Linked DNA regions of Drosophila melanogaster. The protein of the gene in region 1 interacts with the protein of each later gene in a pairwise test. Each region holds a gene or a part of one and is shown on either strand. Other genes may lie near its edges. The genes, in order: MP1 and CG42709.

The links.
Region 2: the proteins of MP1 (region 1) and CG42709 interact in a two-hybrid assay, tested with the Drosophila melanogaster proteins (one large-scale study listed by BioGRID).

What each region holds. Positions count from the first base shown.
Region 1 is NT_033777.3:4,305,670-4,310,335, forward strand, and holds MP1 (melanization protease 1), read left to right. Parts: upstream 1-2,238; 5' UTR 2,239-2,317; coding exon 2,318-2,387; exon of another isoform or gene 2,388-2,594; coding exon 2,595-2,758; coding exon of another isoform or gene 2,759-2,785; exon of another isoform or gene 2,786-2,920; coding exon 2,921-3,164; exon of another isoform or gene 3,165-3,225; coding exon 3,226-3,950; 3' UTR 3,951-4,166; downstream 4,167-4,666. Other genes in the region: Vps24 (vacuolar protein sorting 24), read right to left, coding at 4,304-4,666. UniProt on the Drosophila melanogaster protein: Serine protease which plays an essential role in the melanization immune response by acting downstream of sp7 to activate prophenoloxidase (PPO1).
Region 2 is NT_037436.4:12,788,530-12,796,191, forward strand, and holds CG42709 (uncharacterized protein), read left to right. Parts: upstream 1-1,662; 5' UTR 1,663-1,853; intron 1,854-2,688; exon of another isoform or gene 2,689-2,905; 5' UTR 2,906-3,051; coding exon 3,052-3,104; intron 3,105-5,286; coding exon 5,287-5,471; intron 5,472-5,532; coding exon 5,533-5,786; intron 5,787-5,851; coding exon 5,852-6,127; intron 6,128-6,267; coding exon 6,268-6,559; intron 6,560-6,633; coding exon 6,634-6,795; intron 6,796-6,928; coding exon 6,929-7,083; 3' UTR 7,084-7,555; downstream 7,556-7,662. Other genes in the region: Atg1 (Autophagy-related 1), read right to left, coding at 12-99.

The DNA.
Region 1 (4,666 bases):
GTCATTCAGGATTATTTAAGATTCGTGCAAAACCAGTAGAGTGACAGACATCATCTTATAAATATTGTAGGAGCGGCCTTTAATTATACAAAGGAAAGACCCCACGTGTCACCGCTAGAACACTTTGCAGTTAGCGAAGTGTGAACAGCGGCGTTTATTAGCCCAAAACCACAACGTCAGGAACGGCAATTCTCTTGCTACCCCGCAGATTCCAATTTAATTTAATACGAGTAGTCAGAAGTTCAGCTCAAAGATAAGCCGGAGGTAACCCCTAATGAAATGCATTGTCAAATGAAATGGTAAAATTGACGACGTCCACTCTTTCTTGAAGTGGGCAACGGCATTAAATCAGCAAACTAATGGCCACTAAGCAAACGATAGGGCGAGAGGCATCTGTTCTGAAGGAAGATGGTAACTGCCAACTGAGGGACTGTTCGCCTAAGTGCTTTTCGTTCGCATCTTGGCCACTCGGCCTTAACTTAAAAGCGCTTGAAACAAATTGAAATCATTTCTTTCTTACTTTTGGCGAAGGCTACATTTACAGCTTATAGCCAATCATCATAATGCCGCGTCTGTTTAAAGTTTTCTGTACATTGCAATTGCAAATTACTACGCTGTCGGAAACGGAAACAGTCTAGATAAAACAATGTCACAATTTTAAAATAATGTCTTATTTTACCAAAACTCGTAAAATGTAAGGATGTAACCCTCACAAATATTCGCTTTCTTCACCAAGATCACTAGCCCTGTCGATATTACCATACCCAACCAAAAGACATAAGAAGTAGAATTATTCGACATAATGCCTTTGCTCTACTCAACGCTTTGTAACCGCCTCACGACAATTTAAAAGCACTTAAAACAATTTCATATATCATTACAAATTGAAGTGGTATGCTTGTATATTTATGAATTTAAATGATTAGAAAAGATTAGAAAATCATGGAAATTAAATTGAATAACAAAGTGACTCCTTGGACGTCCACTTCTGAAACTATATTGGCTTATGGAGTACATAACCTCAGTTCTTTTTATACCAGTTACGCGTAGAGTAAAAGGGTATAATAAATTCTTTGAAAAGTACAAACTACATGTACGCATGGAAGCGTTTCCGACTATATAAAGTATATATATTCTTAATCAGGATCAATAGCCGAGTCGATCAAGCCATGTCCGTCTGTCACAGGCGCAGCGCAAGTTTGTTGTCCCATGTTGCCACACTTTTGAAAAATGTGTTATTTTCCTTGCCACGCCCACTGCAAGTACCTTAAACCGCACATAACTGCCACGCCCACAATTTTGAAAAATTGTTCGATATTTTTTCATAATTTTATTAGTCTTGTAAATTTTCTATTTATTTGGCAAAAAACTTTTTGCCACGCCCTAAAGCAGCTAAAGCCGGTCACGCCCTACTTTTGAACAATTATTAATTTTTTTTTTCTCATTTTATTCCCCAATACCTATTGATATCCCAGAAAAATTATGAAATTTCGCGTTCGCATTCACACTAGCTGAGTAACGGGTATCGGATAGTCGGGGAACTCGCATTCTCTCTTGTTATTTTTCTAACAATACTTAAAAAACTTAAGGTTACTGTATTTCTCTGGAATCTTAACGATAAAATAAGTATAATAGTATAGTAGTACAATCGTTTTAAATACCTATTAATGAAGTTTAGAGAATATATACGAAGTTAGAAAAATTGATTATGGAAACTACTTTAGGATATTTTCCTAAGTTTCTCCTAATTATTTTCAAAGATTTTATGTATCTGGCTACAAAAAAAGATTGGTAATGTTTAATTTTGATATTTTTCAAAATATTCGATTATTATGTTTTACAGAAATTGTTTTTACAGAGGGTTTGCAAATGTTTGAATGTGAAAATTCACTCTCTGTTAATAAAGTGGGTTTGCCAGATTTTTTAATGGATTGGCCCGTATGGACTTACAGATATCGTCCGACCCAAGATATTTCAGCCCTAGGAGAAGAGGGTAAGTATCATCTGCATTCTGTTGGCGTGGGAAGTTCCCTGATGAGCAACGCATAAAGAGCGGACCCAACATTGAGAGCGGGCTTTTTCGCCAGTATGGGTGTGCCCAAAACCAGACCCTGAGATAAACCCAGACTTGCACTCTCTTAATGCTGGTGTGCTTCCTCAGGTTGAACCATTCTCTGTGAGAGAACCGCTGATAAGCTGTAACTTAGAGCTCGATCGCATTCCAGTTTATAGCCACATTCAGTGTGTTCTCGGCAGGCGCTCTGTCAGCGTATCGTTCTTCCAAGTACAGTGCTATAGTACAGTCGAAGATATAACCATGGAACCGCACTTTTTTTTCACCGTACTGTGGATGCTATTGATGGGAACAAGCAGCACTTACGCACAAGGCAAGTGGTTTTGGCTCTCAGTCGTAGTCGGGGGTTGCTGGCATCAAAACACAAAGCAACCTCCTATCAGCGGTGAACTTCACCCCGAGTCGGGCTGAGTCGATGATAGTCACAGTGGGCTGGTCCCAGAACGCAGAAATCCCGTTCCCGCTGTTAATCACGACTATCTTTGAACCGGGCTTTACGATTTACGTTTTTTTTTTTCAGAAATCTTTGGGTATTGTAGAACGCCTGATGAGAACAGCGGCACCTGCATAAACCTCCGGGAATGTGGATACCTATTCGAACTGCTTCAAAGCGAAGAGGTTACGGAACAGGACCGTCGATTTCTGCAAGCCAGCCAATGTGGCTACCGGAATGGACAAGTGCTTGTTAGTACCCCCTTAAAAAGTTGTGGTGCTAAAATCGATTAAGATCATTTTCATCCATTGAACATATATATAAATTAATTCTTTTACTTATGGCTATCGCATCGAATCGCTTTTCGATGCGACGCCACCATGCATTCTTATTATCAACTTTTATCAATTTAGGAAAAACATTTTTGTTTTACCAATGTTCAGATTTGCTGTGCAAACAGCCGAATGCGAAACCAGCAACCTCAGTGGGGAAATCATCCTCAACCTACTCAGACCACTAAGCCTACAAAACGCTCTGGGACCAAACTGTTACCAATGGCGCCCAATTGCGGTGAAAACTTTGGAGACCGAGTGGTGGGTGGTAACGAGACGACAAAGAGGGAGTTTCCTTGGATGGCCCTAATAGAGTACACGAAGCGTGAGTAACCAAAATATTCCCTGCTGCAGGGACTAATCCCCCCCCCCCCCCATTTTACCAGCCGGTAACGTGAAAGGTCACCACTGCGGCGGATCTCTAATCAACCATCGTTACGTTCTGACGGCGGCACACTGCGTCTCGGCTATTCCCAGTGATTGGGAGCTGACGGGAGTACGCCTGGGTGAGTGGGATGCGAGCACCAATCCGGATTGCACAGTCGGTAAAAACGGACGACGGGACTGCAACGAACCGTACGTAGACTACCCTGTTGAGGAGCGTATTCCGCACCCGCAGTACCCGGGAAACTCACGGGACCAGCTAAATGACATTGCGTTGCTGCGATTGCGGGACGAGGTTCAGTACAGCGACTTCATATTACCAGTATGTCTGCCCACTTTAGCGTCCCAGCACAACAATATATTCCTTGGCCGAAAGGTGGTGGTGGCAGGGTGGGGTCGCACGGAGACAAATTTTACGTCCAATATCAAGCTGAAGGCTGAGTTGGATACGGTACCGACGTCCGAATGCAACCAAAGATACGCCACCCAAAGAAGGACTGTCACCACCAAACAGATGTGCGCCGGCGGAGTTGAGGGGGTTGATTCCTGTCGCGGGGACTCGGGTGGCCCCCTTCTGCTCGAGGACTACTCCAATGGAAACTCAAACTACTACATTGCTGGTGTGGTCTCCTACGGACCCACGCCCTGTGGCCTAAAAGGATGGCCCGGCGTGTACACAAGGGTTGAAGCGTATCTGAACTGGATAGAAAACAACGTTAGGGCTTAATCTTAAATGACGAAAATTAACATTCTTAGGGATTGATCGTAAATCGTGCAGATTACCATTGTAAAATGGGACATGCCACAGTAAATATCGATTTTTAATGAAAGGTAGATTTTACAATAAATTAAGTTATCTCGTGTAGATTCAACGGTAAAACGCGCAGAGTTCAACACTTCTTGATCTGGTGTACTGTACACTTATAATATAAAAACTCAATTCAAGTTTCTGGAGATTATTTTGGTTTCTACAATCAAATGACGGCGTGGGGGTTGCCGTTTATGATTTTGATAAGGTCTGCCAGTCAAAATCACTTGCCTTTAATTTCAAATCTAAATAAAATACCCATAGCAGTTGTTTTAAGATCGCAGCGAGGCCAGGCGGCTTTGCATCTCTTGCAGTTCCTCACCCTCCTCATCGTCCTGCTCAGCCTCGACGCGCGCAGCAGACGCAGACGCCTTGTCCGCCGGTGTAGCCTCTGGAGGCAGGGGAGCTTCCCCGAGCTTGCCATCTGTGATCTCCCACAAAACCTTGTCCACCTCCTTGCTTGCCTCCTCCTCCAGCTCCTCGGACTCCTCCAGCGAGTCCATGGTCTCGTCTAGCATCTCCTCAATAATGCCGGCCTTCATCATTTCCTTTGACATGTCGCGCATGATGCCTGCAAGCTCTGGATAGCGCACCAGGCTCTGCATAGCTTGCAAGACCTCTGTAGACTTTTGCAG
Region 2 (7,662 bases), on another chromosome or scaffold:
TCGAATCTCACCTAGTTGCACGAGGAAGAGTCTAACGGTATCCTCGCTGAGCGTCCCCTTGACACTCAGATAATCCGCCAAGTCGCCGCCATTGCAATACTGTAAAGAGAAAGGATGAAGAGCGTGAGTGGAGCTGATTGGGAAATTAAATTAAGAGAGACCCCCACGAGTCAAGAGTTCAGCGCGCATATAAATCTTCTGGGACCCCAAAAGACCTCAAAAGCAGAATGCAACCCATGCAAACGAATTAAGTCCAATCAGTGCGAAAATGAAAGAGTCCCGAGATTTGATTCAGTCGGTCTTTCCATCTTTTAGCTTCCAGCTGCTCGCTCGACTTTTGTGCAAATCCCAGTCAATCATAGAAAACGGCAAGGTCAAAGCGAATATGATTTATGGCAATTTTCTGAATCAAGAACTGGAATTAGGGAAATATGTTTATGGATCAGCCCAGACAGCCAGCTGCTTTTCTTTTGTCGTTTGCCCAACAAAGGTTCTGTTCCGGTTTATGTCAGCAGATGCGGAGAAAGAGTTGGGGTAAAAATAAGCTATAGAATATTGAATATGCTAGGGGAATTTACACTTGGAATTTTAAATACACTTCCATGTAATCTTTAATCTTTGAAGTAAAGCACCAGTTAGGTTTTTTAAAAATGCCCGTTCACTGCAGTGATTTTTCCATACTCATTTGAGAATAATTAATAATTTTCTCTTTTAATATATAATATAATATAATATTATAATAATAAGCCATTGATAAAGTATATGATAGTGAATGCTAAACAAAAGGCAACAAAATGTTCAAATAAAATATAAACCTCTAAGCATTCGAAAACAGCAAAAAGGAATATCAGTTATCATGAAGAAGTTTTTGAAAAACTTGAAAATGAAAATAGAATATCCCGATATGGGAGAACTTTGTAAGCAGCCCTCGCTAAAATGTAAATGAAGAGAACGAACCCCTGTCTCTCCAAAATGCCGTTATATTTTTGGCCTGAGCAAGTTGCCTAAAAGGATTTGCGATTTTTGACCTTGAGGCCGCCAATCGAAGACATGACTATAGAATTCCACACGAACACAACCACCAAAAACCAACAAAAGTAATGTGCGCGGCGAACATTTTTATCCGCTTTTATGGATTTTTTGTTTTTCATGAGAAAATATATGGACCACTTACAGTTTAATGAGCAAACAAAGCAACATTAGGCAATTAAACAGCCAATTTGAAATGACAAAAGATTTCACTGCACTCGCTTTTTGTGAAATCGCTAAAATCGCCGAAGAGAAGCGAAGAGCGAAGAACATTAAACAAAAAGTCATTGACATGTAAAGTACATAAACATAAACATAAAAGTAAAAGTTTGAAGGAAATGGTGGAATACTCGCAACGAAGAGGGTTTTTCTTCCTCTGGGGCTTTTTAACAATTTCTAAATTATATGCAATGCCATTTCCCGGCAACAAGTGCCCATGAGTCAGCGATTTATTGAAAAATGCACTTGCGTAATTAATGGGCTTCTCTGTTTTTTCTTTCTTTTTTAAATATTATTTTGAAGAATCAAGTGTGAAGAGAGCGATTCGAAAGCTAAGAGAAGACTCTCTTCAGCCGCTCTATTTCAACTTACTCAATTTTTAAGCTCGCAACTTCTGCGGTTCCGTTCGCAGCTCATTCTCAAATCGACGGTGGCATGAGTCGCACGTTATCGCGCGACAACAAAAAGCCAAGTTAGCAAATCATTAAGTATAATTTAAACGCGATACTCCTCCATTCAGTAGAATTCGATGAGAAAACTCTCTAGTGTAATACCCAATTTAGTACATATATTATCGAGAAAAACGACGACGCGTGTCATTCGAAGTAAGCGCAGTGGACTAAAGGTCAACATATTCTAGGCGATAAAAAGAACGCTGCTGCTATACATTGTTCATCGCAATCACAACACAAAGACCTAGAAACGGGATTAAAACAAGAGTTTAACTTAGCACTCGGTGAAACAAATATTCAAACAAACTTTTCACTCAAATCACGTCCAATTTAATCGCTATGATTCAGCCAGCCAAGTGTTTCACATTTTTCCAGCAAATTATGTAAATAAACTGTGAAAGCTTCCCTTTTTTCATATCAAAAGGCGGGCCGACCGACTTATAAGTCAAGTCCAAAGCAAAGTTCATTACGATCGGCGTTAATTCTAATCAGACAAGTGTGTAATTAATTTTATTAATATTACAAGCCGTCCTAAAGATTTCTTTGTACTTCCAAATCTGCTGCTTAAGTTATTATGTTGAAAATATGGCAATTGAAATTTTAATTTCTAATGTGATGTAATGCTTATTAATTAAGATAGGATTACCCAAACCGATTAGCCTTTATTTACGGTGCTTAAAGTGTGAGTTTGCTCTTTCTGTTTTCATTGAAAACATGAATTCCATAATTGTTACTATTGATAATAATCGATTAGTAAGTCAGAAGTTGGTTAAAAGCTAAGCAGAAATCGCGAGGGTATGAGACAAAGCAATTAAATATTAAAAACTGATAAGATAACCACGGCTAAACATTAAACTTAACATGAGAGAGTTTGGAAGAGAGAGTGAGAGTAAAGAAAAAGAGATAATATTTGCCGCTCTTCGAAGCTCTCACACACACACCTGTTCAGTCAGTCGAACGGAATGGGAATTGTTGGCGAATTTTTGCTCATTCGAGAATCGGCAGCGAGTGGAAAAGTTTGTGCGAGCGGAGTGAAAAATAATTATTTTACTTTTGCCAAAAGTAAGCCGGCAAATGTAAATGGACATTAATCAACTTTGAAGCTGTAATTTCAAAGCAAAACAGATGAATATTAAAAGTGCAAAGTGAAACGAGAATAGCGGTGCAAAAATAGGCCCCTAACACCTAATAAAATCTATTTTCAGCTTGAAAATTTTCACATCAAGTTTGGCAAAAACGACGAAAATGCTATGAAAACCCTGAGATAAACACAAATACAAACAACACGACGCCTTGAAGACGCAGTGAAAACAAAGCTAAACAAATATCAGTAAACAAATAATTCATAATAATGCACGTGTACTACAAGTTTGGATTACTGCTGATATTTTTGCTAAGCGTGAGGTAAAAATCAAGTTGTAATAAATATTTACAGATCTCGATATGTGGAGAAATCACATTTGTTATTCTTATGGGGCTGGAAAATAAGTAATCCATTTATTTATAGAAATCAGTAGACCCTTTCCTAAAAACGAAAAACAGGGAAGACACGGGGCAAAGTTTCCGTTTAGCAACATTCGCAGTGATTAATTCACTAAAAACGAAATAACGACAGGTGAACCAGGGTAACGGGACTTTGACCCGCCCACAACTGAGATATCAATGCCAAATGGAATACTCACGCATGGGGTTATAAAAAAAAAACAGCAACATTTTATTGATAGTCCACGGCAACCGCTCTTAATTGCCGCCTTTAATATATATATAAGGTGCACGAATTTACACTCTACTTAATCATATCGCATAATCTGGTTCTGATAAAAATAATAACAATTCCCCGGTTGTCCGATAATTTATACCGTTATTGCTTATCAAATTGTTTGCTCAGCGTTTTGAATTTCTCAACCAATATCTCAAGCAATATTGCAAATGACATAGAAATTTATAACTGTCTCGATTTTCAGATTTTTCTTTTAATTTACAACTGAAACGAGGTTTAGACATTATCGATTATGTATAAATATTCTATATTCTTGCCCTAAAAAAAATCTTTTTAAATACTTCTGAGTTTTAAAACCTAAGATAAAATTCTTTAATCGTTCTTTGCATGTTAGTACTAGTATAATTTTCCCAGTGCACATAAGCCCATTTCTCTATTGATTTTTGGGCCTTTTTAAACCTTTTCAGCCACTCGAAATCAAATGTCAAAGTAGAGTGCTTTTAAGTGCGACGCTTCCAATTTTAGTCACTTCATTCAAGTAGTCAAGGGAATTACGTCGACTAGGTCGTCATGCTTAGTAACAGTTTAGAGATCTTTCGTAATACCCATTAACTTCGGCGAGCAGCTGAAGCTTGAAGGCAATTCGTAACGTTCGATAAATATATCTTTATTATCCGGTAGGACTATATACCAATTAATAGCTACATATCAGCACTTGCGGTTCAAGTACTCGACTCTATAAAGTCGTTCATTCTGTTCATTTTGGCACTTTTAAGGATTGACAAGGCTCCTCAGCAGCATTCATTGAAACTTCACTCAAAAGTCACGCAATTGAAGAGAACTCTACATGGCAGTCAAAAGACTCACTTGAACTACTCTACTAGCCAATTTACACCTTTTTTTCTAAAAGTAAATACAACCCACTAGAACTGAAGTCGCCGAATGCACGGATAACGAACGATTTAGAATCAGACAAAAAAAAAAATGAAGAGGGGTCACAAATGACAGCAAAAAAATAAAATAAATCTGAAAAAAGTGAGAGTAAACGAAATCGTAAACTAAAACCGGTCGAGTTGTCTCTTTTGCCATGAAGTAAACTGGTTTCATCTGTGCTTTTTACTGAGTAGCTACAGTACGTTTCGAAAATGTAAGGTCAGTTAACAGAAACAAATAAACAACTTTACAGACAATAAAAGTGCTTGAGTTACAATAAAAGAAATGTGTGCTTTCTTTATTTTCTTTAGCTTGAAAGTATATCTATTTGATTTTACTTTATTCTTAAAAAACGAAAGGCAAAATATATTTTACAATATATGCATAATCTAATGAATTGCATTAAGAAGCCTTGTATCATTGAATACTTTTAATTCATTTAAGGGCTATTGCTGTGACCACGACTGTAGCGAGAAATACTTTGTATGTAGGCTTGTTCGCACATGTGAGTGTATTCATTCATGTTCTTTCGCGGAGCAAACATAAACAATAGCCGTATAATGATAGTGGGGAAAACGAATGTTTCTGTGTGGCTATGGCGTGGTCATAACGATATGGGTCAAGAGCGTTTTCAGGACAAATTAGCTAGGTGTGTTCGCCTTCAAGACGTGAGTGATGTAAGCACGTACCGCTTAGAACCCACCGACAATCTAAAGCCAAATATTGACAATTTTGGGTATTTGGTAAAACCACTTAACGAATTCGTACAGTAATTGCTCTATCAGAAATGCGCATTCGTTTGACATATAATTGCCCTGCGTTTTTCTTCATAAGCAATGTGAATTCGTTTATAAGTCGTGGAAAAAACCAAATTGGTATATTGTTGGTTTATTCAGTCGAGACCGGAAAATAATTTAATGATTACTCTTACAGCATCAGCCACACAAATGCCGCTCCAGCGGGCAGTGAGGAGGCAAATCCCCTCGAGGACTTTAATTACGGCGATGATGACTACAGTGAAACAGCGACGGGCGAGGAATCGCCGGAGACAGCAGAAAATAGACTGATGCCACAATCATCCTCCACATCGACCACCACCACATTTCGACCAATATTTAGTGAGCATAACATAAATCTATATATTCCGAACTGAAAAGGCTAATGAATATCGTTTTGCAGATATACCACGACGCAGCAACCATGTCCTGGAGCCCAGTTGCCCGCGCAACTGCCTCTGCCTGGAGGACTTCAAGTTCGTTCAGTGTGCCAATGCCCATTTGACCCATGTACCCCTGGACATGCCCAAAACGGCGGCCATCATCGATCTGAGCCATAATGTGATTGCCGAACTGAGGCCGGAGGATTTTGCCAATCTGTCCAGGGCGGTGGAAATCAATTTGAATCACAATCTGATCAGCAGCATAGACAAGGATGTAAGTGCCCAGCTAATTCTACTAATTAGATAAATTGTAACTAATGTGCTTATTATCTATTGTAGGTCTTTCAGGGATCGGAGCGTTTGAAGCGCCTGCGGCTGGCCAACAACCGTCTAACCAAAATCGATCCCGACACCTTTGCGGCGGCCAAGGAACTAACGCTACTCGATTTGAGCAACAACACCATAACCCAGCGCCTGGACGGATCCTTCTTGAACCAGCCCGACTTGGTGGAGTTCAGCTGCGTCAACTGCAGCTGGACGGAACTGCCGGAACAGACGTTCCAGAACATGAGTGGCCTGGAGGTGTTGCGCTTGAACAAGAACGATTTTAAACAGGTAAGAATGGCGAGCCAAAAGTGCGATAGCACAAGTTATCGCTCTATCGATAGTTGGCGCAACTGAAGCCAAAACAGCTGTGTTTGCCATCGCGCAGTTGTCTATATAGTTGTCCCGCTCACGCTTTTCCATTCCGACAGCAAATCAATACGAAAGCTTTCTCGCCGCTAACAAAAATAATTAAACTGAAGCTGCCGGAACTGGAACAACAGAACATCGAGGAGCTGTGCAGCCTGCTGACCTCCATCGACACGATTAGCTTCCTCAACTACGACATCAGCTGCTACGAATTCGTACTGGGCACCCCCTTCAACGGCAGTCTCATCTATCCCACGGAGCCGCCGCTCAAGGGGATTACAAATCCGCCCATCGTCGCCAGCATCACCAGCACTGCAAAGCCAGTGACCGCCACACCCGCACCGCCCAGAAGTGGTGAGCTATTTCCCATGACTCGTAGATCATCTTGCTAACGTGTCTGTTGCTCACCTCCCATTGTTCGCATTTAGCCAATCGCAATCGGGGCAAAATGGACAACAGCACGGAGCTGGTCAAAGCCGGAATCCTGAGCTCCGAGACCAGCACAAGCGGAGTCAGCGTGGAGCCGCCTGCCGAGAGCCAGACCAATCAGGTGCAGATCTCCCAGGAGGCCATCAACACGCTGCTCATCTGTGAGTACAAACTGCGGTTTAAGGTTTATAACATCAACTATTTTAAGCATCTTGCTAAACAGTTATAGTTTGAGTTATACACCTTTTACTTGCGGTACAAAACCAGACTAATTTGTTCAATTTAATCCACTAGGCATCATGGTTCTGGCCGTGATTGGCATCGTCATCGGACTCATTTGCCGCCAGGATATTGGCGGCATCAAAACCAAATGCTGCCGCACTAGCAAACCAGAGCCAAAGGATCAGGTTCATCCCACTGAGGAGATACCACTGAATAAGCTAGCCTAAGAAAACTTTCCAAAACAAACCGAAACCAAACGATCGAAGATGAAAAGAGAATCCTATCCTTCTCCTCCAGTTTCGAGAACAAATTCCATTTTGACGGCATTTTTGATAGATTATAAATAGGTATATGTATATCACGTATGTATATGGCTAGTTAGTTAACTACTTTGACGCGGTATCTAGCCTAACTATATAGTCTCTCCTACAATGTTTCCCGCACAACAACTGAACCGAATCCGTTGTTAGATTCTAGTTGTTAGTCGGAGTAGGTTAAGCCGCCTAGTCGCTTAGCGTTCTGTTCTTTAGGGGGACTCGGTAAATGGGATCCCGCACCAAAACTCCTGGCACTGTTCTAGTTTTAGATCCCAAAATCAATTTTCATCGCAACACTTAAATTAATGTAAACCCATAGATACACTAGTTGTTAGCTTTAGACTTTTGCCAAAATACAATAAAAGTAATTATTGTACATAGTAAAAAAAAAGAAAACCATTGTTTTGAATTATGAAACCAAAAGATTAAAAAGATTACATCTGATAGACTTGATTATTTACCTATATACTCTCCTCATATCACATTCCT